4 linked regions of the Diceros bicornis minor genome follow. The protein of the gene in region 3 purifies or fractionates together with the protein of the main gene of each other region. This does not show direct contact. Links are inferred from orthologs where the notes say so. Each region holds a gene or a part of one and is shown on either strand. Other genes may lie near its edges. The genes, in order: CDCP1, PDGFRB, SRC and CDH1.

Region 1 (7,842 bases), on a different chromosome or scaffold from region 3:
GGCTTTATACACACATACAACACACACACACAACACACACACACACAACACACACACAACAAACACATACAATGAGAAGACTGTGCAGCAAAATGACAAAGGTGGTTTGCTCACAGGCGACTGTTTTCCATTTTGGTTATATTTATTGTCAATTTTTCTACGACTATATATTACTTAAAACAATTTAATTATTGTTTTCAACTTCCTTGCCCCACACTGAAGCCTGGGAGAACTCCTAGAAGAGCGTTTGTACAGTCATCATAGATGGTACGGCAGTATATGAGGTGAATCCTGAGGCTGACAAGCCGGCACCCGAACACATCTCTATTACCAGCAGAGCAGCCGTCTCTGACTCCAAGTCAGAAATCTGTGAGGGGGTGGGGGAGGGAGAGGGATCATCAGCCCTGCCAGTTACACATTCCAGACAACAGCCAGCAGCTCCTCATTTGAATCGGAAGAATGATGAAGGCAACAGTCACCCAGGGTGAGTGAACGCGTCCTTTGACGTCTGCTCACATTTCTGGCAAGAACAATGGCAGCAAGAATGGGGTCACTGACCCAGACTCTGGTATCTGAGTGGTCCTTGGAAAGCCACTAGGTTGAGGTTTTAGCAAGTCTCTGCTTCCAGTTTCACCAGTCCTTCACCCCTGGAAGTGGGGAGCTGGTGGAACTATGAACTCACACGAACACACCACGCCAAGATGGGAGCTTTCCTTTACTCTCGGCTCTGCAGGGACACCAACTTCATTTCCACTCTGCCGAGCCTTTGTTAAGAGAGTTCAGGGATTATAAAACAAATCCTCTGGGCCAGGGCTCTCTCTGGCTTTCTCTATCCTTTCAGGACAGACTCTAGTAACTTCTCAAAGGCCCCCCTTGGTTAGACCAACCCCACAACTTTAGGCAAAGCAGATGTACTTGGCAACAGTTCCTACCACAAAGGCATAGCCCTCAGTGCAGCCTGGCAATGTGACCTCACAGGACCAGTTTCTGAGACCATAGGAAGGATTTAAGAACGTGAAATAGGAGAATTCCTAGGCTTCCTCCTATTTATACACAGAACCATGAGACGTAGCTCTGACAGTCAAGAACTTCCTGGAAGGAAGGAACTCCATTGGAGCTACTGGAGACCAAAAGGACAGCCTCTTCAGGCCACAGGGAGAAATCAGACATGTAACACAAGCCAGTTCAGGACAGGCTGTCATTGCTGTCATTCGTAATGCCTTGATTTACACCATATTCTTACTGGAAGAGTTCTCAACCATTATCACAAACAACCGGAAACATCGAAAACATTCCCAGAGTTCCAGTATAGCTCCCAAGTGTGGTGGGCACACATTTTTCTCAAACACACATTTACACACATTTTCATTAACTAAATTACTCTTTATTCTTAAACTGATTTTTTCCTTCAAAGGGAATCTTGAAAACTCAGTCCTAAATTACAATAAATATGCACACAATATATTTTTTTCTTTTTTTGTGAGGAAGATTAGCCCTGAGCTAACATCCCATGCCAATCCTCCTCTTTTTTTGCTGAGGAAGGTTGGCCCTGGGCTAACATCCATGCTCATCTTCCTCTACTTTATGTGGGACACCACCACAGCATGGCTTGATAGGTGGTGCGTAAGTCTGTGCCCGGGATCAGAACCTGTGAACTTAACTGCTATGACACTGGGCCAGCCCCCAAGCACACAATATTTTAAATGAGGTCTTGCAATGTTCCACCTACTGTGCAGCAAGAAGTCACCTGATGCTGTTGGAGAAAGGAACCAGGAAGCTTTCCTGTCTCGGATTTGTAATGATGGCAGTTGTTGGATTGCCCAAGTTCACCTCACCCGCTTAGTTTTATTCCTCAATTTAATTTATCCTAATTTCTCTACCTGCCAAATACAGGTCCCCTTAGGTGTAGCAAAGGGTAATCAAAGACCCAAATCTCTTCCTGGATAGCTCTTAAAAAAACACAAAACCTGTGCTAGTTTCAGGAAAGGCCTCGAATCAAGTTCTTATTTGAAGAAACCAGGTTATTTCTCTGTTCTATTACTTGCAGGGCCCGCAGGGCACCTCCTTGCAGACACAAGCAGCTGGGATGTGGCTGTCCCTCCCCCAACCGGAACAACTCGAAATTCACACACATCTACAGAACGTCCGCCTCTGCCAACCCGCTTCTGCCGTCCAAGTCCACTGCACAGAGATGCGAGGGGCGGGGGGATGTACAGGCTCCGCGGCGCAGATGCCCGGCGGCCTTCTCCTACCTGGCGCTTTCAATTTCAAATTAATGTCCCTGAATTTCAGGAGAGCGAGAATGGAGCGTGCGGACAGGAGAAAAGGGATGGGATATCGGGGCGCCAAACCGCTATTTTCCGGCACCTTCTCCCTGGTCCAGGCGAGGAGGTACAGGGTGGGCCAGAGAGGAAAGTTCCCTCTCCACGCCCTACCCGGGGGCCCCCAAGAATCCAAGTAAAGCCCCCGAGTGCGCGGCGCGCCACTTCGAGCAGGATCGGTTTCGGCGCGCTGTTTCCTCCTCCTCGGTGGGCGCCGCGCTCATTCCCCCCGACCACGGGGCTCCCCGCTCGGGGACACTCCCGCGTGCCGCAGCCTGCGCCCACGGCGAGGTCGCTCGGAATCCTGGAGGGTAAGGCCACTGCGCCTAACGCGGCGCGCCCGGGAGCCGGGCGGTCCCGGGGACCCCGCGCCATCCGTCATCCCGACTGCGCCGCCGCCGTCCCCCACTCTGCACCCTCCGCACCTTGCGTCCCTACCCCACCCCTCCGCCTGGCGCCGGCTCGCGGGCCATCTTGACCACTCGGCGCCACCCGCTTCCGCAGCACCGCACTCACCTACTCCGAGCGGCAGGAAGGCGGCGCCCAGCAGCAGGACCCCCAGCAGTGCGATTGTGACCCCGCAGTTCAGGTGGGCCATGGCTCCGGGGCGCCTCGGCCTCGGCGGGGAAAGCGACTGTGGCCCGTGGCACGGAGCGGCGGCCACGGGCGCCCAAGCCTGACACTGGCTGCGCTGCGCTCCTCCCCGGCTCGCTCACCTGTGTGCGGGCGGACCGGCCCGAGCTCCGCCCTGCGCCGCGGGAGTACGAGCTGGCCCGGCCTGTCCCCTCCCCTCTCCTCCTCTTCCTGCTTCAGCACCCGCCTCTCCCGGCCAGGGTGCTGGGACTTGTTGACACCATCCTGGGCCTGTCCTCCCTCACCAGGCTGAGAGTAATCCGGTCTTCTTGTCTAAAGGCTCGAAGGCCCCTGGGGAAGCCAATTCGCCTTCCTTTCCCCGTCCAGGAAAAGGAGGCCCCTATGCGCCGCATTTTGCACGGGAATCATACTTGCGGATCACCCAAGCCCTGGCTGCCTCGTCTGTGCTCTCTCTGCTACCTGAGTTGGGCGGGAGGCTCACTGGACTTGAAAGCAGGCGCTGCAGCTACTCTTTGCAGGACTGTGAGCCTGCAGCCTGCTCCGGGCGCTTCACCTGCAGTAGTCCTAATGCTCACAGCAATCCTTCCACGTTACAGATGACTGTAAACAGACTTGCTGAGTTGCGCAACCTGCCCAAGGTTGCCAGGCGAGTTAATTTAGAGATAGGATTTAGCAGCACGGGAAGGGTTTTCTACAAATGGAGTTGCTTTGTTAAATTTTTGAAGAAGGGATGAGTGAGTGAATGAACGCATAAGGCAGGAAAGGACTGAGAGAAGAAACCTAAACAGGTCCACAAGGACTCCCTTCTTGAATTGTGAGTGGAGTAGTATGTGCCGTATGGGCGGGAGGCATTCACGTCAATCGTTGGGCTGTAAAAACAATGGCGCTAGGCTCCTTTCTCTCCTCCCAGCTGCGGTGTGCCGCCTTTCCCTGGCTTCCAGGGTCCTGTGGGTTCTCCTTCCACCTGTAGGCCACACACCAAGTCCAGGGTCACAGGGCCACGAGGAGAGGCAGTGGACGGTTCACGGACTCTCAGCCGGCAGACCAGGGTTCTGCCAAAATGACTCCACGCGCCCCCTGGGGCTATCTGTGCAGTGCGCAGCCAGAGGCTGGGCCAGGGTCACCTAGAACAACCTAGGAGGACTGGGACAGGAACCAGAGCACATGCAAGGGCATCAGTCTTCAGTCCAGCCCCAACTTCTGATTAATTCTTGGGAGCACTGAGCCTCTCCAGGCTGCCCCTACTCTCAGAATGAACAGGCGTGAGAAATCCTCTCTTAGGGGGTTCATCCCCTTTCTTCTGTGTGTCTTCGAGGATGAGAATAAAGCAAATTCTGCCCTCAGGGAGGCCACAGTCTGTGAGGGAAACAGAGATGTCCATACTGGGTCCTGACCCCACCCACATCTCTACCTGTGGGAAAGCTTGGACTATGAGCTGTAGGGGACCTCAGAGTTTATTTTCTAGCCTACTTCCCTCATCAGACAGATAGATGGAGAAACTGAGGCCTAGGGGAAAGGAAGAGAATGAGAAAAATAGAGAGGTTCTTTGTTCTCCCCACAGAATTGAAGGCAAATTCATTAAGAGAAAGAAATCTTGAGAAAATCTAAACGTCCTTTAAAAATGTTTACGCTTACCAGGAGAGTGAAAGCAGATTTCATCTGTTTTCTTAGTTCTAAGAGGGCATATATATGCCGACATCTTTTCCTAGCATCCATAGTACGATTATTTCCCACATATAATGATGATAATAATAATAATAATAATAATAATAATAGAGTGGCAGTGTGTTGAATTGAAAATATCAGAAATACTGCTTGATGGTTTAAGCCTAGGGAACAAGTTATTTTATTACTGTCTCATTTCTCCAAAGTTTGCTTAACTCGCCTCCCTGAGATTGTGAAACTAACTTTCTGTAAATGACATGAGAGTCAAAAATTCTCAAATGTGAAGGATTGGTGATGGTCCCAGACAACGCAGCAAAGAGAAAGAAATGAAAAAAGTAGGGAGGCATATCAGCATCCTTTGCATGACAACCCAGCTACACAGTTGAAGTCAAGATGTCGTGAGGTAATGTCTTGGTTCTTGGAGTCGAGTGTGAGCAAAGCATTGCCAAGGTATGGAAGTGTTTCGTCTTTCAAACATGGCTGAATGGAAGGAGTCAATTTTAAAAGGTTATTTCTGAAGTGGAAAAAATCCGGGCAGCTATAGTCTGTTGCCAGAGAAAAATGACAGATTGAAGGGTGAGTTTTAAAACACACTGTTCCATCTAATTTTTACCCCTCCAGAAACCCTACAAAAGCTACAAAACAGAGATTTAAAAAAAAGGCATAAGCGTACTAAGATGGGGAGAACAGAGAGAAGACAACAGCAAAATCCTCTTGGAAGCTGGAAAGCAGGTGGACAAGTGGTAACTGCCTTAGGAGCCTGGAGACAGCAGAACCCTAATCCAGGAGTGGGGAAAATTGAGATATTGCATGATTTATACTGTGGAATTGTAAAAACAACAACAAAACAACAACAACACACACACAAATAACCCTCAGGAACTAGCAGCACAAGATATTCTGAGACAGGAGGGTGAAGGAGAAGTGAAAACAAGGAAGCCTGGGAAAAAGCTGTTTGAAAAATACTATTGTTAGATCTAAAAATACTATTGTTAGAACCTTCCCTCCATTCCCCCTGGCTGGGGAACTGCCCCTCCTTCACTCCAGCAGAAGTCTGAAGCGCTGTTTTCTGGAGAGGTTAAAACCGAGGGATCTGGGCTGAGAAGTGCCAGGCACAGTTAAGTGCCTGGAAACATCCTGAAAAATAAGTAGATAAAGGGAACATAGGCATTGTGAACGCTGAGCTCCTCAGTTGCCTGCCCCAACTTGCTTCTCGGAATGCAACAGAGAAGGCTTTACCATATGTGCTGGAGTTGGAAAGAATCTCCTTCTGGGGAATCTGACCAGCCCAAGAGGAAAGACCTAAAGATATAGACATTTATCCCCATCAACAGGCTAACCAGATCCCTACCATGAGTCTCCCAGTTGGTAAGCCCCACCAACTCAGCTTTTTAATCTCTCACTTTTGAATATGACGAGACAATCAGGATTTCAAGACTTCTAAGGAAAGCTTCTAACAGAGAAGAGTCAAAATCAACCAATTAACTAGACAGAAATAAGAAACCTCGAGGAAAAAGACAATATAAGCAGGAGAAACCAAAACAGAGCAAAAAAAAAAAAACAATTACTAACTTCCTTAGACAGCAGACAATATTACATCTATGAAACGGGAAAAGGATGTTATAAAAAATGAATATTCAAGGAACCACAAAAGAGTTCTTGGAAGTTTAAAAAATGTTTCTAGATATAAAATATGTATGTATATATATAGAAGGGTTGGAATACTTCCCAGAAAGTAAAGCAAAAACACAAAGAGATAAAAAATAGGAGAGAAAAGTTAAGAAAATTGGGGTCCAGTTCAGGAGATCCAATATCTGAATAATGGGTTTCCTAGAAGAGATAGCAGATGAAACAGAAAGACATCATCAGTGATATAATTCAAGAAATTCCCCAGGCCCAAATGACATGAGTTTCCAGATTTCAAGACTCATGGAGTGTCCGGCACGGTGGATAAAATAGGCTTACATTGAGGCACATGATGTGAAATTTCAGAAACCTATGAACAAAGAGAAGATTCTTTAGCATCCAGAGGCAAGACATGGGTCTCATGCAAAGGAACAAAAATCAAAATGGCTTTGGATTTGTCAATAGCAACACTAGAAGCTGGAAGACAATGAAGCAATATCTTCAAAATTCTGAAGGAAAATTACATCCAACTTAGAATTCTATACCCAACCAATCTACCATTTAAGTGATAAGGTAGAAAAAGGGTACTTTTAGACATCCAAGATCTAAAACAAAAACCACAAATTCCTGCACACATTTTCTCAGGAAAATACTGGAGGATGTGTTCCATTAAAACAAGAAATGCGTGAAACACAGAGAGGAGTGGATACAGGTTTGTGGGGCTGAAATTAATCACCTTAAGAAAAAGAATACAGAGTTGCAGATAGAAATTCAGGTATGAAAATGATTATTTATTCAGAATAGGGCAAGAAATCACAACAAATTACAAACTTGAAAAAATTGAAAAATGTCACAAAATCCAGAAAAATAGCATGATATCTTTACTATTAACTCACTGGTGCAGCTCTTTATCATTTCTTCGGGTCATTTTGCTTCATCAATGTGTGTGCTATTTCTTCTGGAACTGCCAGACTTCATCATGACAAGATGCATCAGATACGCTGAGATGCAATCTTGATTTGTTGGGATGCATAAAACTGTGAATTCACACACAGAAATACTCGCTGTTCATAGAAACACCGTAGTGTCGTGCCCTACAAATACAGGAATTCTTACAAATTCTATTTGTGTGATTCCTATTAAATACAAAGAACAAAATAATATGGTACATTGATAATTTTACATGCTGCGTTATCCATTTATTTCTGACAGAAAAAAATGCTTCATTTAAAAAAAATTTTTTTTTAATTTATTTAATTTTCCCCCAAAGCCCCAGTAGATAGTTGTATGTTATAGCTGCACATCCTTCTAGTTGCTGTATGTGGGACGCAGCCTCAGCGTGGCTGGAGAAGCGGTGTGTCACTGCGCGCTCGGGATCCGAACCCAGGCCACCAGCAGCGGAGCGCCCGCACTTGACCGCTAAGCCACAGGGCCGGCCCAAAAATGCTTCATTTTTGATAAGGCATGAAGAGAACCAAATGTTCTGCTTAAAATTTTAGTTTTGCTAATTGGAAGAATTTTCTACAGACTAGCTTCTGGCTCTGTATAATCAGACTTGATTCCTCCTCCTCCACTGTGCACACACTTCCGGTTGGGCACTCCAGAACAAGTTCATAATGTGATACCACTTCTGGCC
Region 2 (7,981 bases), on a different chromosome or scaffold from region 3:
AGCAAAATGCCCAGAGACTCCTCCTTCTGCCCAGAAGGCAGCTGGTCTCCGAGCCGGACAGTGCCTGGAGGACGGAAGTGGGCCTTTAGAATACCCATGCTGTCCAGGTCCCTTCCATGGGGATAGCCCTCTGCGGGTTGCAGACTAATTTCACAGCCAAGTTGTCCTGTGCAGGAGGCGGGGAGAGCAGCAGCCCTCTCATAGCCAATGGCATTAGGTCCAGCCCCGTGAAGCGCAGGAACTGTGTACCTTACCTATACTGTTACCTCCTGGAGCCTACATACCGCCCTGCTGCTCACAGAGGAGGGGACTGAACTCCAGAGTCACACAGTCAGCCAGAAGCCAAATGGGGTAAATCCATGGTCATCCGATGCCCAAACCTGGTGTTGTTTACCCATGGTGCCCACTGCCTTCCAGATGTAGACGCAGCCCAAAAAGAGGACACGGGGGCCTGAGGTTGGCCACACATGGATTTGAGCTGAGCCAGGGCGAGCGCCGGGTCTCCTGACTCTGAATCCACGGTGCTTTCCGCTGCCCCACATCTGTGGGCAATTACAAGTCGCAGCTCTTCTTCCCACAGAGGAGGGAGCGCTGCCTGATCACTGCTGAAGGGAGGGTGCTGACCAGATGGTCTCCTTCCCCACTCAGGACCAAACCAGGGCCCAGGTGGACCTGGGAGCAGGTCAGGCCTGGAGCTGAACTTTCCGCCATGGAAGGTGCTGGAGCCAGGAGCAGGCTCCATGGGAGGATGGAGACTCTCTCCCCTCTCACCAGGAGCTCCCTGGGTAGCGAGAGAGTTAAGTGTTTGGATTCAGGCAGATCGTGGCCTAAACACCAACTCTACTAACTGTGTGACCCTAGGAAATTCTCTTAGCCTCTCTCAGCCCCGGGTTCCTTGTCTGCCAAACAGGGGTAGTAATACCCATTCCAAAGACCTGCTGTGGGGATTACAGGGCCTGAGCCTGGCATGGGGTAAGCACTCAACGACGGTGACCAGCATGGTCCTCATGTCCCCGAGTGCTGTGGACTCAGGGCCCTCCTGCTTGTGGCTTTAGAAGAGCTCGCAGAGGCCTCTGTGCACTTTGGAATCACAGAGGCAGGCAGGGACACCCCTCCTTGTCTGACAGAGAAAAATGCAGTCTGGAGGAGCTGCATGATGTTCTGGAAGGGCACCTGAGGGAAGACAGGGGGCCTGGGCTCTGGTCTCATCTGGGAAGAGGAGGTCTTCAGTGAGTCCCTCCTCCCTTTCAACAGCACATTTTCTCAGCCCCACTGCCTGCCAGGGACACTGGGGACAGAATACAGGTGGGGAAGCCTGGGTCCTGAATGATCTCCGATGTGCAAAACAGAACACAAACAGGAAGAGAGGGCCAGGCAACAAGGCTCCAGTGCGAAGGGCACAGCAAGCACTTGGAAGACTGGAAGCATCTGAGAAGCTGCCTGGAGGAGGTGGAGAAGGGAGGGTCCTTGAAGAAAAAGTGGAAGTGATGAGGAAGGGCAGGCCCACAGGCAGGATCTTGCAAATTCCTTCTGGGAATCCTGGGATCTGACTGGCAGGAACACAGGGCCCAAGTTTGGAGTGATGGGGCACGGAGCTTACTATCTCCCCGAGCTCTGCCACTTACTAGCTACAGTTTTGTGGCCGCTGTGAGCTTCAGTTTCCTTGTGTGTAAAATCAGTCTCTGCCCCTGGAGTTGCTGGCCAGCGTTACATGAGATCATGCTTACAAAGCACTCCGCGCAGCCCTGGCAGGCAGTGAGTCTCAATCAGTGGCAGCCGCTGTTAGGGCTTTGGGCTTTCTACAGGGGAGAATCACGGAAGGAATCGTGATCAGATTCGTGTTTTAGGATGGAGAAGGGGCAGTGTCTGGCAGGAGGGAGAGAGAGAGGGGGCCTGAGCACTGCCTGGGACCAGAGGAAAGGGCCAGCAGCCGACCCCGCTGCTCCACAGAGGGGCCATCAGATTGATGGCCGGGCCCCAGACCCCCAGCCCCGGCTGCATGACCATAACTGCTAGGATGGGCCTGCCACCACCAGGGCCCCCTCTCCTTCACACTTTCCCAGCCGCTGGGGGTTTGAAGGACATCTTAGGAATCTGGAAAATTTGCAAATCTTTTAAATCCCCAGAGGTTGCCTGGCGGCCGACTGGCCCAGAGCCAGACAGATTCTTAGGGACAAGACTTGGGCCCATGGACAGGGGCTATGCCTCTGAGGTCCTGTCCCTTGGTAGGTCCCCGTTCTGTGTACGCTGCTTGCCATCTCCCAATTCCCTTCTCATACCCCTCCCAGCTCTCCCCACCTCCCGCAGGCAGTGCTGTGCTTTGGAGGCCCCCAGTCGACACCCGGAAACCTCTGGGGTTTGTTTGGTGAGGGCAGGGGGCAGCAAGGTTGAGGAGGCCGGGGCCACCCACCCCAGAAGCAGCCTGAGCAAGAGAGAGGAAAGAACTGGCTCCTCTAGCCCTGATGTCGCCCGCAGCCTCCCGGCCTCCTCCCATCTGGTTTTGTTAAAAGTATTTTCCATTTTTTGACCTATTCAAGAAGGCGCAGGCTGGGGCCAGGGGACAGGACAAGGGGTTGGGGTTCCCCACTCTCCCAGCACTTACCTTGCTGCTGATGCCTTCTGGTATGGGCACTGTCCTGGGCTCTGGGCTGTCACCCCCTCCAGGAAGTCCTCCTCACGGCCCTCTCCCTTTATCAGAAAGACTTTGCTGGACCCGAAAGGGGGCCGCAGCTGGGTAGGAGGGCAGGGAAGGCCGCTGCAGGCTCCCGGAGCCTCAGGAAAATGGAGGGAGTGGGGGGCTACAGGGGTAAGGAGTGGCCTCACTCCCAAAGCATCCTTCGGGAGGAGCAGGGCTGCCAGGAGGGGCCGCCCTGGGTCTGGCTGTCTGTGTCGCAGGGCGAAGGCTGCTGCCGGGCGCTGGTCAGAGGGGCCTGGCCCTCTCCTGGTCCTCCTCCTCCTCCTCCCTGGCTCCAAGTTGCTCACAGAGCAATCCTGGGTCCCAGACGGGGCGGGCAGGGACTGCGGCCGCTGGCAGCCCCAGGAGCTCACACCACTGTGGGCTTCCCTGCCCCCCCACCTTGGGGGAAAGGCTGAAGGATGGCCTCTGATTGGCTCAGCTGGGAGAAGGGGGGCGGTGGGGCGGGGAGGTTGGACGCGTGCGTCTGTTTTCAATTTCAGTTTTTTCCCCCCTCTTTCTTTTCCCCAAGTTTCTTGTTTTTCTTCCTCTTTTCCCTCTGCTTGCTCCCTCCCATCGCTGCTCCTTCAGGATGTGAGGGGATGTTTAGAAATTCCGCGGCCCACGCCAGCCGCTGAGTCACTTTTATTAAAGAGTGGCCCGGCCCCACTCGCCTGATGCCTGTCTCGGGTGGCAGCCTCCCCTTGCCATGGCACCTGGGGGCGAGTCCTTTCTGTGTGCCTCAGTTTCCCCATCTACAAAGGGAGCTCTGATAAGCTATACGGCTGATTCAGTCAACACTCATTCATTGAACAAGCATGTCGATCGCCTACGATGTGCCAGACACTGCGCTGAGTGATGGGGACACAGTAGTAAGTAAGACACAGTCCCTGACCTCAGGGGTGCCCAGGCTAGTGAAAGAGACAGACAATGGACAGTTGGGTACCCCAAGGGAGGGCAGGGGGGCTCAGAGCGCATCTGGAGGGGCACCTAACTGAGGCTGGAGGGAATCAGAAAGGGCACCTGAGAAGAGGTGACTTGGAAGAGACGGAAAGACCTTCCAAGATGATCGGTCACTTCTCAGAAGAAGAAACCAAGGCCAAGGGGTGACTTGGTGCAGAGAGGGAAAGAGACTTGCCCAAGGTCACCCAGCACACTTCAGATTCCAGACATATTCCTTTCTGTCATCTCAAAGCCCTGGAGTAGGGCTGTGGTTACTTCCCCATTTATATATCGATGAGGAATGTGAAGCCCAGCAGAGTGAAATGAGCTCGCACAGCAATGGCAGAACTCGAGCAGAATCAGGTCCCACGAGTTACATGATGGAACAGACACGGGGACCTGACCCACACTGCAGTGTAGACTGGCACTCCTGTCCTACCTTCTACCTAGGTTATCCCTGTCCCCGTTTCTCATTCAGTCACTCAACAGATATTTTCGAGTACCTGTTATGTTCCACTTCCAGCCTCCGGGCCTCCTCCCCACTAGGGGCTGCAAGGCTCTTCCAGGACGTCGGCGGGGCCTCTCGTGACCTGGCTTCTTCTACCCTCGTTTCCTCAGATCAGAAGCTGTCTCTAGTCACAATCTCCTGGCCCTTAGATGCGAAGGCCATCATTATAAAAGGGCTTAGGAAGTTGACTAAAAGGGCTTAGGCAGTCACCTCCTGCCCCCACTACTGCACACATGGGGAAATTGAGTCCCAGAGAGGGGGAGAAAGGTGTCCCGGGTCACACAGGTAGAGCGTGACTCTGTCCAGGGCTCCTTCTGTCCTGCCCTCTGCACCTCTGTCTATCCCTTCTCCCAGGCCTCACCCTGGGCTCCTGTTCATGGGGCGGGGGCTTTGCTTGAGCTGGGATTTCATGCCACCCACAGGAACCTATCTGGTGGTCATTTCTTGGTCTTGTCCCAGTGGGGACTGCCCAGCAGAGCATCTGGCCTGGGCCACACAGAGGGAGAAGGGTTCTCAGACTGGCTCCAGGCCATGGGGTGGGGGCCGTGAGAGCCTCCCAAGAGAGGGGGCCTGGCCCAGCTTGGTGGCAGCTGGGTCAGAGGGGAATACAGGGGGACTCCAGAGACCACAGGGTCAGGCCTGCACAGGGATTTCTTGTGCCCAGAGACTCCATCAGTCTGTACAACTCCCCTTCTAGCATTTGCCTCAGCCGTTTACCTCCAAAGCCTTGGCCCAACTGCAGGGACCAGGACAACTCAGGGGAAGCAAGGCGGCATCTCAACCCGCAGCCCCAAGAAAGCTAGGCCGGGAGTCAGGAACCCCAGCTGTGGACTTGTTGGTTGGTCTTGGATAGGTATCTTGTCCTCTCTGAGCCTCAGTTTCCCCATCTGTACATAACAGGGGTGGACTCACTGAGCTGGAAGGCGCTCGGGATGCTCTGTCTACAAGTTCCTTAGAGTTGGACTCTGGCTAGGGAGAGGAGGCTGGTGGGCCCCAGGGCAAGGGGACAGCTGGGGGCCAGAGATGCAGCACAGAGGGGAGGGGGCGGCTGCCGGTGGCTCCCCCGGGAAGCCGGCGGCCGCCAGTTTCCGGCCAGCCCAGCCGTCCGGCTGGCCCATCTGGAATCACTTAGCCCCTACCACCATTAACCCTTGGCAGGCAGCAGGGCTGTTAAGGCTCTTCTCAGCTGAGATGGGGTTGGGGGACACAGAGCCACGTGAGACACCACAGGGCACTCCCCGAGGGCTGGACAGTTGAGGCGGAAGTGTCACGATTGACAGGGCAGGTTCCAGAGCCAGAGACAGAGCTGGGTTCAAATGCTAGCTTCTGCAGTTTCAAGCTGCATGATCTTGGGCAAGTCACTTGAACTCCTGAGCCTCAGTTTCCTCTTCTGGAAAATGGAGATAATTTGAGGAATGACTCGAAAGACTGTTGTGATTTGTAATGCACTTAAAGGGCTTAGTACAGTGTCTGGAAGTGTTATTATTGAAATAGTGATTTTCTCTCATACCAGCTGCAACCCGTCACTGTGTGCCCCTGGGCTGAGCTCTCCCTTCTCTGGACCTCAGTTTCCCCTGTGCACTCTGAAGGGGTGGGCAGTGGGCAGTGCATGTGGACAGTGCAGCCCCGTCAGGCTGGCATGGTCAGCATGGCCCCCAGCCCACTGTGGACAGGATGAGCCGTGAGCAGTCTCCCACCTGGCCAGATGCTGGGAGCCCAGGCCAGCCTCGGACACACCTGTCTTGGGGGAGGCTAGGCTGAGATTGGACAGGCAGAGCGTGGAGCATGGGGAGTCCTGCCTGAGGTAGAGTGGGGTGGGGTGCAGAGGGAGAGAGCAGCTCTGGGCAGTGGGGTTCAGCACTTCCCCTCCCCACTGCGTGGTGGCCTGCTCAAGGATTAAGAGTCTGAGCTTTGATGTCAGCACTTCCAACCCAGCTCTGCCACTTCCCAGCTGTGTGACCCTGGACAGATTACATTATCCGAGCTCAAAGAGCCTCGGTGTTTTCAGCTGTAAAATGGGGATACAGCCGCCTCCTTCACAGAGTTGTTTGGAGAGGCCCAAATAAGTGATGCACAGGAGGTGTTTTGTACAAGGACTAGAGCAGAGCGAGACAGCTCCAAGAAAGGTGACTGATTCTTAGGTGTCACCGGGCGCTGCTGTCACAGAAGTTCACCATCAGGACTGGAGGGAAGATCCTCCGACAGCTCATTTTACAGCTGAGATGACTGAGGCCCTGTGATGGAATGTGACTGTACCAGGCTTTGTGACATGTAAGACCAGGACTGGAACGGAGGCTTTGTCCAGACTCTTAGGCCCGTGTTCTTCCCTGGAGGAGGGAACCAGGCTGAACTGCCCCCCTCCACAGACCCCCACCCACGCTCAGCTCATCAGAGCCTAGCTGAGCCGGAAGCCACAGCTCTCAGTGGGGCGGGGGAGGGGGTCCGGAAAGGGCGCCTGAGTAGGAGAATTCCCAGTAGGCTGGCTCAGCACTCATTCAGGCAGGGCCAGCGGCTACCACATCTGGCTCTCCCACGCTCCCAGCGCTGCCTCGCCTCCCCCCCGCCCGGCCTGGGGCGACGAAGCAACACACACGTCCCAGGCATCGGCACAGTCATCTTGGATGTCAGGGCCAGATGAGTCCTAGGAGTGAGTCCATTGTACAGGCACAGAAACTGAGGCTCAGAGAGCAGAGAAGACCTGTCAGAGGTTAGCAGAGAGAGAAAGGGCCTGGAATGCAGGACTCCTGACCCCCAGCTCAGTGTCCTTCCACTCTGCGCACCCTGAGCAGGTAGGACCTTGTGCCTGCATCTGGGGAGCCAGAAGGGGCCTGCAGTGGGAACTGCCCCTTCCCCTCCTGGACATTCAGCATGGTGGCTGTCTGGTTGGGCAGAGGGACCAGTGGGGGCTTCGGGCCACATTCTCACTCTAGATTGCAGGACTGCTTTTACTGGGCCAGACCGAGGCCACCAAGGCCTGACAAGGTCGCAGGAGATAAGGGCTTCAAGACCCTGCCCGCCTCAGCCCCTCCCCAGCCTCCAGCTGGCCTCAGTCTCAGTGCCCCAGGGAACAAGGGTGTGTCCTTCTGGTACACACAGATGGCTCAAGGGTCATCAGAACAGCAGGGCCCCCAGAGGCCACGTATCTTCTCCTCACTGGACACAGTGGGTCCCAGAGAAGGCCAGAACCTGCTTGAGGGCACACAGTAGGTCTGGAAAGGGGCCTTTAACTTTGACTCCCAGGCTGTCCTGCTCCTCCCACCATGTAGCCACCACACAGAAGTTAACTAAGCACCTACTATGTGCCCTGGCCTCATACAGCTCACAAGCAAACACCAAGGAAACCACAAATTAATAATATAAAATTGTGATGAAAGAGAGAGAATAATGGGCTATGTAGGTAGGATTCTTGTTTTGGTAGATTAAGGCTTCTCTGGGGAAGAAATATTTCAGCTGAGACCTGAGGTTAAGAGGCCACACTCAATGCAGGGGCGGGAACAGTGTTCTAGGCAGAGGGAACAGCATGTGCAAAAGCTTGGTGTGTTTGAAGAGAAAGAAAAGAATGGTTGAGGTGCAGAGAGAGGACTGGTCGGATATACGCTGGAGAGGTAGTCAGGGGCCAGGCATCAGGGCCTTGTGGGCCTGAGAGGACTCTGGCTTTTATCCTGAGGGTCAGGGGGGCGGGGGAACTGAAGGATTTTAAGCAGGAGACTGATGAGATCAGATCACTGTGGGGCACTGTGGAGGATGGCTAATGGGGGCATGAGGAGAGGCAGGGGGCGAATATGGAGGCTGTTGTAGTAGACCATGGCCGACTGCCCTCCCCACCCCCCATCCATCCGAGAAGCTGCAGAACGCAT
Region 3 (6,923 bases):
CACTAATCAGCCCCTTGTGTGAAGATGAAGGCCAAACTCCTCCCCAAGGCCCACACAGCCCACAGGGTCCAGCCCTGCTGTGAACACCCCTCATTTCACCTCTCACCCCCTCCCCCTAATTCTCTGTGCTCCAGATTCACAGGCTTTCCCATTGTTCCTCCACAACAGCACACACTCCCCACCTCAGGGCCTTTGCACATGCCATCCCCTCTGCCTGGTAAGCCCTGCCCCTAGCTCCATGCCTGGCCAACTCCTACGTGCTTCCTTCAAGATTCCTCTGCATCCCACGCCTCTCCCTCTGAGCCCTTATCACATCTGCGATTATATATTCATTTATTTGGCAACTTGTTTGCTACTTGGCTCACCCTCTAGACTCAAACTTCTGGAAGGCCAGGGACGTTCACCATTCCTCTGCAAGGACCCACCCAGGCTGACCACTCCCCACAACCCCAGGGAAGTGTCTGAACAGAAGGGAAGAGAGAGCACTCTCGTCCCTCCTTTGTTGAGCAAACTGCTGCCCCCCCTCAGCACCACCTCCTGGAAGCCTCCGGATGCCTCCCCACAGCTCCCACTGCTCACCCCATCACCACACTGCTGGCCTGAGTTCAAAGCTCCTAGGACACAGTAAGTGCTCAATACAAGGTCACGGAGGCTTGCATTTAGGCAGGTTTGGGGAAATGGGGTCAATTGAGGACCAGGGGGTTGGGGGTTCTGTCGGCATGTCATGGAGCCATCTCCTCCCTGGATCCTGGGGCTTGGAGGAGCCAGACAACCCCTGGCCCCCGAGGTCACCATCAGGGAAGAAGCAAAAGCAGAAACTGGCTGTGAGCTGGGGATAATTCATGCTCCAGGAAGAGGCTAGGGGAGAGGAGGAGAGAGCTGGGGGGCCTTCCTGGAAGAGGTGGGCCTTAAACTAAATCTTAAAGAACAAGAGCAGATAAGCAGCTCCTACATGAGAGGACACTCCGGCAGGGACATCTTCAGGAGCAAAGGCCCAGGGGCCACACAGGAGGGCCTGGGCAGGCAGTCAGCTGAGAGAGGTGACACACTGTAAATCACTTCCTTGGGTGGAAAGACCACATCACCATCTCACCAAATGGGCCTCGTGGCTCCACGCGATCACTCATCGGGGTAGTCTTTTCCGACACTGCCGTGTGCCTGGTCTTGTCCTGAGAAACGCCTGCTCCTCTATCACCCCTGGAAGGGGTCGAGGGCAGCCAGACGGGGGGCTCCAAGGTCCAGGTTCTGATTCCAGCTTCAAACTGTGTGGCCTCGGGGCAGTCACTTCACCTCTCTGTGCCTCAGTTTCTCCATCAGCAAAATGAGGATAAACAAGAGCCCCTACCTCAGAGGAGGCGCTCAGTAGAGGTCAGCAGCTGTCATTACCACGGGCCCATTTTACACTTAACGAAACGAAGGCCAGAGGGAACAGTGAGCTGCCTGAGCTCACACAGCTGCTGGGTGGCAGGCCTGTGCCAGCGTGGTCTCTTTCTCAAGGGGTTATTCTTTCTCAAGAGGCGGCTTTTCAGGCACAAATCCACCCTCTCCTGGAGATGAGCCCCACTAGGCCAGCAACCTCGCCTCCACCCGTTCAGGCAATTCATCCAGGGAAGCGCTCATTTATTGAGCACCTACTACATACCAAGCCAAAACACACAGATTCCTCCCCTGAGGATTCCCATTCCACATATGCAGACTCAGAGGGCAGTCCCTTGGCCCAGGTCGCCCAGTGAGACGAGAAGCCTAGGTGTCCTGTCTCCCCAGCCAGAGGGCTGAGAAGAGGGTCAGCTACAGAGCCAGCCTGGCCCACTGAAACCAAGTCTGACCTCAGCTGCACTGTGGCTGGGCCTGGCCTCCCCCCAGGGGACACAGGGACCACTGCCCCCATTGTACAGAGTCCCTGAGGCTCTCACCCAGGCCCACACACACATGGTCTGTCCACTCTCAAGTCAGCCTGGAGACCCCAGAGGCTGAACTGGTACCCCACAGGTGAGCCCTTTCTCTTCATGCCCATCCTTCCACCAGCCCAGTAATCCCAGCCAGGCCCACCTGCCACTGATGAGGACCTCCAGCTCAGAGAGAGCAGGCAGTTGTCCGAGGACACACAGCAGGGCAAGTGGTGGTCCTGTTGAGATTCAAACCCACTGCAACCCCAGCCCAGGCAGGCAGATGGACCGGGCTTGGTGGTGAGGGCCCAAAACTTTTGCCAACTTCTGAGCAGGCAGGCGGCTGGGCCTGCCCAGAAGCGAGGCTGGGGGCTGTAGGCAGCGGGGACCATGCAGCGTCTGGCCCAGTCCCTTCCAGGCCGGCGGCACCAGGCCCTAGTCGAAGCCCCACGAGGACAGGGTGGGCCTGGTGCCTGGCCGGGCGCCCCCAGCCAGGTACCCCCAGACCCACCCTGTCGGCCCCCCTCCACCTCCCATGCCGGGCCGGGGCGCCAGGCCGGGCAGCCGCGGCCAGAGGCGGCGCCGACCGGCTCAGATATCAGATTTGGCCTAGTGCTGGCCGGGGGCTCGGGCCCGGCTCGCTGCTTCTCAGGGGGCTCGCAGCGGGAGGGTGAGCCGGAGGGGGTCCCCGCGCCGACAGACCCCTGCGCCCCCGCCCAGCCCCCTCCTCCCGCGGCATCACAACAAAAGGCCGCGCCGGGCACGTCCCCGTGCGCCCGCCCAGCGCTCCGGGCTCGCGGCTCGGCCGGGGGTGCGGGTCGGAGGGTGCACGGAGCCCCCGCGGCCCGGCGATCCGAGGCCGGGGGGGGGGGGCCCCGCGCGGGGGCTCCCCCAGGCCGGCGGGGACTCGGCGCCCGCGGAGGGGCGGGGGGCGCTCACCTGGGCCGACGGGCGGGCGGGCGCACCGGCAGACAGACGCACGGGAGGGCGGCCCGCCGGACGGCCAGGGGGTCTGGCAGACGGCGGCCTGGCCGCTCCGGCTCCCAGGCCGGAATGGATTCCGGGCCGGGAAAGACAGATCGAGAGAGAAAGGGAGGAGGAGGAGGAGGCGGCGGCCCGGGGAGGGGAAGAGGAGGGAGGGAGCGCGCGCGCCGGGAGGAGGGGCACGGCAGGCCTCCGGGAGGAGGAGGAAGGAGGAAGCGCGCGGGGACGAATTCCCCGCCGGTGACCGGGAGGAGACCCGTGTGCGGGCCCCCCCACACTCGAGCCAGCGTCCGGGCGGGGCGGGGGATGGGGTGCGGAGGCTTGGGGCACAGAAACCCCGCCCCGTGAGAGCACCCCACCCTGCGGACCCCCGATCCGCCCTCAAACCAAAATGCCCTCCCTAACTCCCCCCAACCCACCTACCCTATTTACCCCAAATCCACCTCTCCTGCAATTAGTAGTAGTAATAATAATAACACCAGCACTAACGGAGCGCTCACTCCTTGCCAGGCGCCATGCTAAGTGGCTCAGGTCGACTTTTAAGATCTATTCCAAACAAGCAGCTGGGCTGGCCAGATGGTTATCTCCATTTTACAGATTGGGAAACTGTGGCACAGAGAAAGGGGTTACCTACAAGAAACAGGCTTTGGACTCTGGCCTTGACCTGAGTTTCACAAAGTGGGGACTGGGGCAGGAGGGACCATGTGGAGAGGAGCAATATTTATTTTAATAAGATATGTGTTCATTTCAATGTGTATAAAACACATAACTAAGGCTGCCCATCAGAAGTCATAGAGTTCCAGATATTCCCGCCTCAGAGGGGACTGCAGCAGGTATTCGGTGACAATTACACTTCCAAGTATATAAATAAAGAGGCGAAGCACATCTGGACGCGGGGGCGAGGGAGTATAGCAGAGAAAGGGGATGACCTGGAGGAAATGCTGCTGTAGGCCACAAAGCCTCCTCCACCACTGTCTGACCCCACCTTACCCCACCACCTCCAGGCCCAGGCTCCGGGGCTGCCCTGTTGGGGGCGGGCACCCCACCCTTGGCTTTTCACCTGTCCTCCTGGAATTATGGCACAGGGGAAGGTGGGCCTGAATCCAGCTTTAAATACCACCACCTGCCTCCACTTTCCTTCTCTGAAATTCTTCCATTTCACAGATGGGAAACTGAGGCCCAACCAGGCCAAATGGCACAAGGCTGGGCTTCTCCTCCTGAGAGGAGCTGGGAGGGGAACCCTAGAATGTGGGAGGCAAAGGCTCAGGGTACAATACAGCGTGCAGGAGTCCAGGAGTGAGCACCGCCTTGAGCCGGACTGATCTGGTTCTAATCTAGGCCAGCTGCCCCCCTGCTGCACCTCGTACGAGTCCATCAATTTCCCCAGCCCAGTCCCCTTGCCTATGAAACAGAGTGAACAAGCCACAGAGGACTCCTGGGAAGGTTAAACCCGACAAGTGTGAGGGTGGCTGAGGTTGTGCCCAACAAATGGTAGCTCTTACGGGTGGTAAACTGAGGCCGGAGGGAGAAGGGGCAGCTTGAAGCCCCACAGCAAGTCAGCGGCAGAGCCAGCACCAGAAGCCAGCCTGGGCTGGGGAAATGGCTGCACTTGTTGGCAAGGCTGGCTTAAAGATTAACCATGGCTTCCCAGGCTGGAGGAGCGGATTTCTCAGCCCTCGCTCACTCCTCACACGTGTCTGAAGGCCTTTCCTGGCCACACTGGGCCGGGTGGGCTGCTCACCCAGGGGTGTGCTGGGGCTGGCTGTTACCACTTGCAAGAGCAGACTGTGTTCATCTCTCCTCAACTCTCGGATCAATGATGTCACTTTGATAACTTGACATCAGCCACTGTAGGAGTATTTACACCTTGGAAATCAGCAAACACTACAAATCAAGGCTTTTTTTCCTTCCAAAGAGCTGGCTTTTAAATATTTACCAGCACATCACCAGATTCATCCCCAGGAGTTCAACTGAAAGTTCTGGGCCACGTCTAGAGCTGGGATGACAAAGAGCTTAAAAGCACAGACTTTGGACCCACAGACCTGGGTTAAGTCCCATCTCTGCCACTTCATGGATATGTGACCTTGAGCATGCCATTTCTCTGAGCCTCGGCCTGCCAACCTGCAAAATGGGCTAAAGACAGCACTTCCGTCAGAGGGCTCCCATGAGGATGAAATGAGGTGCTGCCAGCTCAGCACGTGTGGGCCTCACTATCCGTACCCTACACATTCTCTTGGAGGAGCAGGGACGACGGGGACAAGTCTTGGCTCTGGAAGGTGCAGCCTTCCCCCTGGAGCCACCACTGGCTTCGAGGGCTTGGCTTAGCCGCTGAGGTTCTCAGCGAGCACTTCAGGGAGACGTGGCCAGCACGATGGTTGGGAACGTTTGTTATTTTCAGCCACCCCTCTGGGCCATTGCTCAGGCTGTAACTCCCACCGTATCTCTAGCTTCCCAACCTTCTGTGGCCATCAGGTCCCTGAGTAAATTCCACCACCTCCAGGACATGCTTCCTGACAAACTCCTGATGAGGCACACCCCAAGTCCCTTCAGGGTGTGTCAGTCCCCACCCTTAGGGCAGGGACTGTGGCCTGGCCCGTGCCCAGCACAGAGCAGACACTGCCCAGTCGGCTGGGGAGAACACACTGATTAGGGATCCACATACAAGAGTTCAAGTTCCAACTCTTCCGTTCATTGACTGTGTGACCCTGCCCTCTCTGAGCCTCAATTTACTCATCAATAAAGTGGGGCCACAACCCCACCAACCTCCAGGATGATGTCGATGCGAGAGTTGCTGGTCTGGCCCGGTGGGTAAGTAAGGGACTCTGTGCATTATTTTGCTTAAAACATTGTTTGTTAGTAAAATAGCAACTCATTGCTTAATGCCTGCAAATCATTCATCGTCGTTAATGGAAGCAACTTATTGACCACCGACGGTATACACAGCCCTGTCTCAGGCCTGGAAGACTGAGAAGCACAATTTCCCAACCCAAAGCACCCACAGGTGACAGATGTTATTGATGTCAACATTGCTGAGATGGTGAGCACTGGTTGTACACAGATGTCTGTCTCCAGAAACCTCTTCTTCCCTCCTTCCCCCCACCTGGGTCAAAGCCACAACTAAGGGCAGGATGGAGCATGTGGGGCGAGGCCTGGCCCCTCAAGACTGGCAGCAGACCCACAGGTGAGAGCTTTCCCATGAACTAGGATCAGAGGCACTGCCCGCACCGCACCCCTGGGCCCTGGTGGCTCTGGCTCGATGGTGGCCTATTTGCTAACCCCACCCTGAGCCCAGCTCACCTTGGAGGAGCTGGACCCATCACAGGCACCCAGCGGGAAATTCCAGACCAGCTCTGTCATTCACCAGATGGTTTGCTGTGAGTTGTCTATTCGAAGCCACAGAATGATCTGGACTTCGGGCTACAGGATGAGGTGGAAGAGGGGGCAGGCTCCAGCTTGAGGCTGTGGAATGGGCTTGGCACCTCCCGTGGCACTGCACTTTACAGTTTACACAGAGACGTCCAGTTCCTCAGTGCATCAGCCCGATCTGGCCCTTGCCAGCTGCTCAGGCCTGTCTTGCAGGCCCTGGTCCCCTTCCCTCCTTGTCAAGCCCGCATCCTTGCTGTCCCTCCGTCACAGCAGCTCATTCCCGCCCAGAGGCCTCTGCACTTGCTGGTCCCTCTGCGTGGATGCTGTCTACCCCACAGCCCCTGGCTAAGCCTTACTCTTCCTTTCTCGGGTCAGTCAGTATTTACTGAGCATCTACTATGTGCTAGGGTCTGGGCTAGGTGCTAGGGGGACAGCAGTGAACAAACCAGGTCTGGTCTCTGCCTTAGAATTGCTCGCAGCCTGGAGGAGCAGGGAAGTGTGACCAGTGTGCTAGGCAGAGTGATGGGGCCAGCACCGGGGACTGGAGGGGCCCTAATTCACTATGTGTGTTGGAGAAAGGGGCTGGTGAAGGAAGGAGGTCGTCTACGGAGAGTGTAGAAGACTGCGGGGATGCTGGCAGGTGAAAATGGGACAGAGAGGGTATTCCAGGCAGAGGGAACAGCATGA
Region 4 (7,868 bases), on a different chromosome or scaffold from region 3:
TAGTACATGAGCCCCCAGATTTCCTTTTTCTGCCTAGGCACTTGTGTTTCTGACATTTACAACCCAAAGTGACCAATATAAATGCCGAGACACAGCATGTTACAGGGGAAAGAGCACTGGGTGGGGAGTCTTAAGGCTTGGATTTGACTTAAGGTTCCACTATTTATTAGATCTTGAAACCTTCCCTGTATTTCAGTCCCTTCAACTGAGAAATAGAAATGGCATCACTGCCTATAAAACGTTTTGGTGGGAAATCAAATGAGCATGGATGGGAAAGTGCTTTGTAATCTGTAAAGTGCTTTGCAAACTCTAAAGCTCCATATACAAGTGGGCAGCCTCTGTTGCACGTGGTATTCAATGGAGAAGGTGATCTAGAAGGGAGCAGTTCCATTTATGCCATGTCCAACCTGCTGCGTGACATCTGACAGGTGTTTGAACCTCCCTGAAACTTGGTTCTTGTCTTCGGAAAAGTGGATTCCTGGTGTCTCCCGGGGGATTTGCAAACTGGATCACGTGACTCCCCTGATCTTAATTAAAATCCTGCAATGGTTCCCCATTGCTCTGAGGACACAGTCCAAGCTGATGACCATGATTAACACAGCCCCCCGCAACACTCTCCTCACCTGTTGGGTCTAACCTGCCTCTCCTCCAGCTAGACTGAACTACCTAAAGTGCTAAGCCCTCTTCTCTGGGCTTTTCCCCAGGTGGTAACCTCTGCCAGGAACACTCTGGCTAACTCAACCTAGATGTCACTTCCCCCAAGAAGCCCTCTCTGAGCCCCTTGCGCCTCCACATCACTTGCCTTGTTGATCTTAAATCATTATCACTAGGGCTGGTCTCCAACCAGGGTCACTGATATCACTCTAGGTTCTAGTTGCTGAAATATTGTGTTGAAATTTTTCCACATCATTTGGGAATCAGCGACTTCCCTCAGTCTCTCAGAGTGCTCCCCACACCTGCAGCCCCTCCCACACCCCTCCAGATCTCCCCACCACCCAGCAACCAGAGGGTAAAGCCTGGCACAGCAGGGGGCCTGGGACTCCACCCCCACCCCCACCCCCACCCCAGCATTCACGGCTGGTGTTCATTTTGGTTGGCCTGGTGCCCGGGTTCTACCAGTTGTTAAATATGAATATCATTGTTGCTTATTGCCCTGGATCATAAATACCTGGTTCCCTTGTCTGTTTATTCACCAGACTGAAAGCTCCTTGAGGGCAGGGAGGGCCTCCCTCACCAGCAAAGCGCTTGGCATGTGCTAGGTGCAATGAGGGTTTACTGAATGAATGAATGGATGAGTGAGTGAATGAATGAGTGTGTCCTGAAAAGTTGGAGAGTCACTCTAGAAAATGATGGGCCCCACATCCTCGGTCTGGACTCTGGAGTTTTCTTCCAGGCCTGCAATGGAAACCTTGCACTTTGCCCAGGTTTTATGGCTCCGCAGGTCTCCACCCCTGCCTGTGGAAGCTCCCTCCACCTGCCCCAGTCTGGCTCCAGCACGGCCAGCTTCACCTTTCCCTCCTGCAAAACTTGAGAAGTGTGGAACCTGGAAAGACCAAGACGCACCCCTTTCATGAGCCGGTGAGTAGGCGAGCACACGCGTGTACAACACACACACAGGAATGGACAGTCAATCAGTGCTCACTAACTAGTCCTGGTTTACCCAGAACTTTCCAGGTTTAGCACTAAAGTCCCACACTCCAGGACCCCTCTCTGTCCTGGGCAGACGGGACAGTTGGTCATCCTAGCACTGGGTTGGTTAGGTCATTCTTCTTGGACAGTGGAGGGAGCGGTGGCCTTCAGGACTGATTTCTCTGTTGCAGGTACTGAGCACAGGGCCTGGCACACAGTGGGTTTGCCACAGCTCTGCCACTTACTGGCTGTGGAAGACCACTTCACCTCTCGGTTTCCTCAAGAGGGGACAGGACAGTATCTTCCTCATAGAGGTGCGTGAGTTAACAAAAGGAAAAGTGCCTGGGTCTAGCACCTGGAACAGAGTGAGTGTTACATAAATTAGAGCCATTATTGTTGTTGTTGTCGTTATGATTATAAATTATATATGTGCATGGAAGAAAGGTCTCTAGAGGGTCCAGCCCAGTAGCATACTGGTTACGTTTGCACGGTCTGCTTTGGCGGCCCAGGGTTCCCCACAGGCCTGGATCCCAGGTGTGGAACTAGGCACTGCTCATCAAGCCATGCTGTGGCAGGCATCCCACATATAACATAGAGGAAGATGGCACAGATGTTAGCTCAGGGCCAGTCTTCCTCACACACACAAAAAAGAGAGGTCTCTAGATTTTTCTGTGTGTGAAACAAACAAAAACAGTAGGAGGTATAGGGCTACAAAAGTCACCCCTCTACTAAGCCTGCTCTTAGCGAGACAGCCCCCCACTTAAAAAAGAAAACAGTTTTATTCTGACAAAATTCATAAGCCACACAATTCACCTATTTAAAGCATTAATTTCAATGTTTTTTATTTTTTTGTGTGAGGAAGATCAGCTCTGAGCTAACATCCATGCCAATCCTCCTCTTTTTGCTGAGGAAGACCGGCCCTGAGCGGGCAGGCCTTCACGATCCACTCCCTGCAGCTTGGAGAAGGACTTGCCGAGAAGTCTGGAGAGAGCATTGTGCCGGACCTGTCCTCACTGCCCCTAATTGTTTTCTAAAATCCTTCTTATTGAGTTATCAGAGTGTAATGGAAGAGTCGATGAAAGTTGCCGCGGAGCTACAAGGCCAGGGCTTGCTGGGGGGAGGAAAGCAAAGCCCTAAAGGCTCCCTGGGCTGAGCGAAGATATAAAATATGTATTTTTACATAACTGGGAGGAAAAAATAAACGGACAAGGCAGCCCCACGGGGGAGACGCCTCTTTCTGTATTTCCATTATCTTGTTTAATGCACAGTCCGGCAGGAGCCTCAGTGGGAAAGGAAATACTGGAGCCTTTTCCCTCTGAGCCTCCTGGTGGGTTAAGAGACAGAGAGCCAAGATGCAGAAATCAAATGGCCTGGGCATGTGCTCAGAAACCCATTAAGCCTGAGGGGACAGGTTGGGGGTGGGAGGGGGCTGACCCAAAACAGTGTTTTGGTTTGAGACAACGCCTTTCCTCTGGGGTTGAGAAAGTAGCCACAATGGGCTCAGACTCACCTTTAGCTCTGGGTGAAATATTCTAAACATGGCCTTCCCCATGAGGAAGGAGGAAAGGCAGTGGTTCTTTCCAAAGAACAACCTCCACAACATTTACTGAGCAGTTGCTAGTAGGCGTCAACTACTCTGTTTAGTGATTTTCTTGCATTAGCTCCTATCAACCCATTTATATAGGTAAGAACACTGACTAGCCCAAGGTCACACAGCTAGTGAGCAGCTGACTCCACACACTGTTTTGTAGTTCTGATCACGCTTGAAGGGGGAAGGGAAAGATGGTGTCCTTATCAGGGTAGCCAACCACAAAGAAGGGGCTGGCCCCTGGCAGTCAGACAGGGAAACTGTCTAACCTAACATTTGCATGTCTATTCCTTTTTTGATCCTAAAATTATTTTACTGGGGACAGAATTCTCTAGAGAGGGTGGTGGTGGCTGTGGTGTGGTGTTAGGAGCCCCAGTCTGGGGATCAGGAATCTCAGGTTCTAGTCTTGGCTTTGAGGTTGACTTCCATGTGACATTGAAAGAGTTATTTGCAAAGAACAGGTTTGGGTGATCTCGAAAGGGTCTCTTCCAGATCTTCATTAAAGAACAGATTGAAAACTGCAGCTCCAGCTGGAAGACTATCTGAGGCCGCATGAGGTGAAGCTAATAGAACAAAGGGCTCTGGAATCAGAGGGAGATGAGTTCCAGTCCTCCCCCCACCTCCTACTGGCCTCAAATTCTTTTTTTTTTTTTCCTGAGGAAGATCAGCCCTGAGCTAATGTCCATGCCAATCCTCTTTTTGCTGAGGAAGACCAGCCCTGAGCTAACATCTATTGCCAATCCTCCTCCTTTTTTTCCCTTTTTCTCCCCAAAGCCCCAGTAGATAGTTGTATGTCATAGTTGCACATCCTTCTGGTTGCCGTATGTGGGACGTGGCCTCAGCATGGCCAGAGAAGCGGTGCGTCGGTGCGCACCCGGGATCCGAACCAGGGCCGCCAGTAGCGGAGCGGGCGCACTCAACCGCTAAGCCACGGGGCCAACTCCCAGGCCTCAAATTCTTTATGCCTTAGTTGCCTAACAAAAGGGAATAATAACAAAGCCCTTGGGTTGTTTGGAGATGAGTTTAACTGAGATGGTCAATGTCAAATGCTTAGCACAGAGCCTGGCACTGTAACTTTCAATGCCCCAGCACCTATTATTACTATTTTTATCCCTCACATCCATACAGAGCTTTTATATTGCAGGAAACACTGGTCTTATTAATTGTGTGGCAACCTCACAACAACAGAGGGAGGCGTTTGTGATTATTATTCTCATTTGGAAGGTGGAGAAACTGAGGCTTCAAAAGGTGGGTGCTACCCAGTGATCTGATTTGCAAACTCACTAACCGATGGAGACCTGCAGTTAAAGAGACAGAACTCAATTAAGCGGAAGTCCTTTCGGACCCCGGGTGTTAGTGAACCACCGCGAGGCTGGGATTCGAACCTGGTGGTAATCGCAATCGGGGAGCCCCTACACCCTACCTCGACCCTGCCAACCACCGGCCAGCGAGTCACCGGGTCGGCGCGAGGCAGGGGGGCGGATCGTGGGCGGGCCGTCCGCCCTCTGTCGAGGAAGCTGAGGCCATGGCCGTTTATTGGCTGCAGCCGGCAGGTGCACCTTCAGCCAATCAGCGGGGCTGGGGGCGGGGCCTTCGAGGCTCACCTGGCGGCCGCGGCGCTGCCCGGCTCAGTGGCGTCGGGAGTCGCGGAGCACCTGTGAGTTCGCGGAAGTCCTGCTAGATTCTAGCCCGGCCCAGCCTGGCCAGAGCCGACCTGACCCTCGCCCGGCCCACCATGGGCCCTCCGTGCCGCAGCCTCTCTGCGCTCCTACTGTTGCTGCTGCTGCAGGTACGTCGGGTCCCCGGACTGCAGGAGACGCCTTCCAGCCTCACCAACCGCGCCCCGGCCCCGCGTCCCTTCCCCTCCTCTCTCGTCGTCCCTTCGTCTCTCTCGTCGTTCCCTCTTCCACTAAGAAAGTTTGGGTCCAAAGGGCCTAAACGGCCTGGAAGCTGCGCCGCGCTCTGGACTCCCGGGAGATGGGGGTGGGAGCAGGTGAAGGGCGAGCGCGGCTCTGCCCACTCCAGCCCGCAGACACCGAGGGGGCGCGCGCCTCGCTGCAGGCGCTGGGACTCCGGTTCGCCGCGGTGTGGCGGGGAGCGGGCAGCGGGGGCTGTGGAGCAGGGTAGGGGTAGGGATATGGAAGGGGAGCCCCGGCGCAAGTCAAGGGGGAGCCAGGAGTAGTGGGTTCGATCCCTGAGGTAAGGAAAGGGAACCAATAGATAATAAAGGCACCTGCCATGTAAAGAAAGGGTAGTAAGTAGGTATGGGGGTGCCCCTGGGGTAGGAAAGTGGGGTCCAAAGGGGTTGGAGCGCCCCTCGGTATGAGGAACTAGACTTAGGAGTGAGAACGTTCCCGGTATGAGGAAAGTGGAGTTGGGAAGAGTAAAGATGCCTCCGTGAAATTGTAAAGGAGACAGGAGAGGTGCTAGGTCGGGAGGAGGTGACCAGCAGCCCCCTCTCCTGGAAGGGCCTGGGGTCCTGGCGGCCGCAGGTTTCGGAATGAAAGAGTTTGGCGTGGCTGCCTGCCCCGGGGGTGGGTCCTTCCCACAGTCCTGACGCCGGGAGCGAGGGAGGGGCGGCGCTGTTGGTTTCGATGTGGGCAGGAAGGGACCCCCCAACTCACCCCGGTTCCATACCTTTTCCCTACCCCAGGTCTCATCGTGGCTCTGCCAGGAGCCGGAGCCCTGCCGTCCCGGCTTTGGTGCCCAGAGCTACACGTTCACGGTGCCCCGGCGGCACTTGGAGACGGGCCGAGTCCTGGGCAGAGGTGAGGGCGCGCCGGCGGTGTGCTGAGCCGGGTGGGTTGGGGTAGGAGTGGAAAGTGTCCAAGAAATTGCGCTCCCACGGCCCTAGACTGAACTGGGCAAGCCCTCCTTCTCTGGCTCAAATGACACCCCTTTGAAATTTACACAGATGTAAGGATCTGAACTTTTACCCTGATTGAGCACTGTGGTTGAGGGGCTATCCTCGTATGGTTATGTTATAAGGGGGGGAGCACTTATTAGAGGCCTTCAGTGTGTCTCATAGTGTCCTGACCACTTTAGAGACAGTCTGTCATTTCAGACTGCAAAAACCTGATGTGTGAGAAGGGAGCAGTAATTCCTGTTTTACGGATGAGCAAATGGAGGCTCAGAGGGTGGAGTCCACTTGCCCAGGGTCAGCAGAACAGGAATTTGAACTAGGATCTGACTCCCAGGCCCCATTCTGCACCATCTCTGGGATGACTGAGGATCCCTCTCTTGGTTACCAGGCTGTGGCTATTACTCACAGAGATGAAAACATTTTGATACAGGTACTATTCCCTCAAGGAATAATGGTTTAAAAAAAAAAAAAGCCTGGTAGCTCTGACTCAGGTTATGAAAACGCACACAACGTAATTCTGGGCCTTATCACTGTGATCATCAGGATTTGAGAGCTTGCTCTGTTTCACTTTTCAGTGGCCCAGGAGTGAGAGCAAGGGAAAGTTAGTTTCTCTTCTGGCTTCACTGATTCCCAGGTGCTTATTTCCTACCAGGCGACTTTCTCCTCCCTCTTGATTTTAGTTGGTTGGGCAAGTTTCATAACAGTAAAAGAAACACTTTTTAAAATGAGAAATCACCCACAATTCCTCTGAGGGAATTCACCGAGTTTATTCCTCCAGTCTTTGGCCACGTGAAAAATTTGCAGCAATCATGCTGTTGTCTGAAATTCTTTTTTGAACTTTGGAAGTTGTTCCAACAGTGGGCGGGATTTTTTCTTAACAGAAACTGCAGCTTGATTGATTAAACATATTTACTTTTCTGAGGCCCGTCTGTGTTGTGTAGAGCTTTCTATTGGGTCAGGTAGGAAGTGTTGTCTGCCTGATTTTGCAGTAAGTCCGCCATTACTTGGCCAGTTCTCTGCTTGATATTCTGCCTGACTCTGTGCTGGGCACCTGGGAATGAACTGAGGAGATACAGGGGCACTCCAGCCCAGCTCTTGGTATTTCACATTCCAGCAGGTTGCTGGGAGTGTCCCAGGACCCACTTAGAGGGCACTGTGGGACGTGAACATTTAGGTGCCAAGAGTGTGGGTGGCCTGGGATGTTTTGATGGGTATCAGTGGGCAGTGAGGACTGGTTTCTGAGAGGAGGCAAAGCTGACCCAGCCTTGAGGAGCAGGTGAGGGTTAGAAAGGGAGTGTGTGCCTGTGTGTGAGGTGTCCCAACACAAGTGCTGGTCATTTTGTTTTCCTGCACCAAGATATTTGCTAGTGCCAAGGGAGGGTTAGTCTGGTTTTTATTCCTCTCCCCAAGCTCTTATGTCTGACCGCTAACAACATTATTACATGCTAGTAATAATATAAATATTATCATTATTATTAGCAGTGGCATCTATTATTTGCTTTTTAACCAGACTCTGGGGCAAAATGTTTCACATATTTTACCTCATTTAATCTTCCCAAGAACCTTATTATTTCTATTTTGTGGGTGGGGAAACTGAAGCATAAAGCAATTTAGTAATCTGCTCAGGGATCCACAGCTGGTCCTTCTCCTGTTCTCTCCGCTTCTCAATAATTCAATAATCAATCAAGAAAACAGGGTGTTTGGGGAATTGGTGTCCATTGTGAAGTAGACGTCGTGGTCCCTGTGTGCCTGGGAGAGGAGAGGTGTTGATAGAGCAGGACCCCCAGA

What was found.
Region 1: the proteins of SRC (region 3) and CDCP1 purify together in Homo sapiens (co-immunoprecipitation; 4 studies listed by BioGRID and IntAct, with this or other methods). This does not show direct contact. The link is inferred for Diceros bicornis minor from reciprocal best matches to the Homo sapiens genes SRC and CDCP1.
Region 2: the proteins of SRC (region 3) and PDGFRB purify together in Homo sapiens (affinity purification with western blotting; 4 studies listed by BioGRID and IntAct, with this or other methods). This does not show direct contact. The link is inferred for Diceros bicornis minor from reciprocal best matches to the Homo sapiens genes SRC and PDGFRB.
Region 4: the proteins of SRC (region 3) and CDH1 purify together in Homo sapiens (affinity purification with western blotting; 5 studies listed by BioGRID and IntAct, with this or other methods). This does not show direct contact. The link is inferred for Diceros bicornis minor from reciprocal best matches to the Homo sapiens genes SRC and CDH1.

Annotation. Positions count from the first base shown.
Region 1 is NC_080741.1:46,819,701-46,827,542, forward strand, and holds the start of CDCP1 (CUB domain-containing protein 1), read right to left. Parts: upstream 3,013-7,842; 5' UTR 2,920-3,012; coding exon 2,838-2,919; intron 1-2,837. UniProt on the Homo sapiens protein: May be involved in cell adhesion and cell matrix association. May play a role in the regulation of anchorage versus migration or proliferation versus differentiation via its phosphorylation.
Region 2 is NC_080740.1:67,175,192-67,183,172, forward strand, and holds the start of PDGFRB (platelet-derived growth factor receptor beta), read right to left. Parts: upstream 3,016-7,981; 5' UTR 2,603-3,015; intron 1-2,602. UniProt on the Homo sapiens protein: Tyrosine-protein kinase that acts as a cell-surface receptor for homodimeric PDGFB and PDGFD and for heterodimers formed by PDGFA and PDGFB, and plays an essential role in the regulation of embryonic development, cell proliferation, survival, differentiation, chemotaxis and migration.
Region 3 is NC_080758.1:22,736,481-22,743,403, forward strand, and holds the start of SRC (proto-oncogene tyrosine-protein kinase Src), read right to left. Parts: upstream 3,007-6,923; 5' UTR 2,826-3,006; intron 1-2,825. UniProt on the Homo sapiens protein: Non-receptor protein tyrosine kinase which is activated following engagement of many different classes of cellular receptors including immune response receptors, integrins and other adhesion receptors, receptor protein tyrosine kinases, G protein-coupled receptors as well as cytokine receptors.
Region 4 is NC_080771.1:20,367,026-20,374,893, forward strand, and holds the start of CDH1 (cadherin-1), read left to right. Parts: upstream 1-4,860; 5' UTR 4,861-4,952; coding exon 4,953-5,006; intron 5,007-5,870; coding exon 5,871-5,985; intron 5,986-7,868.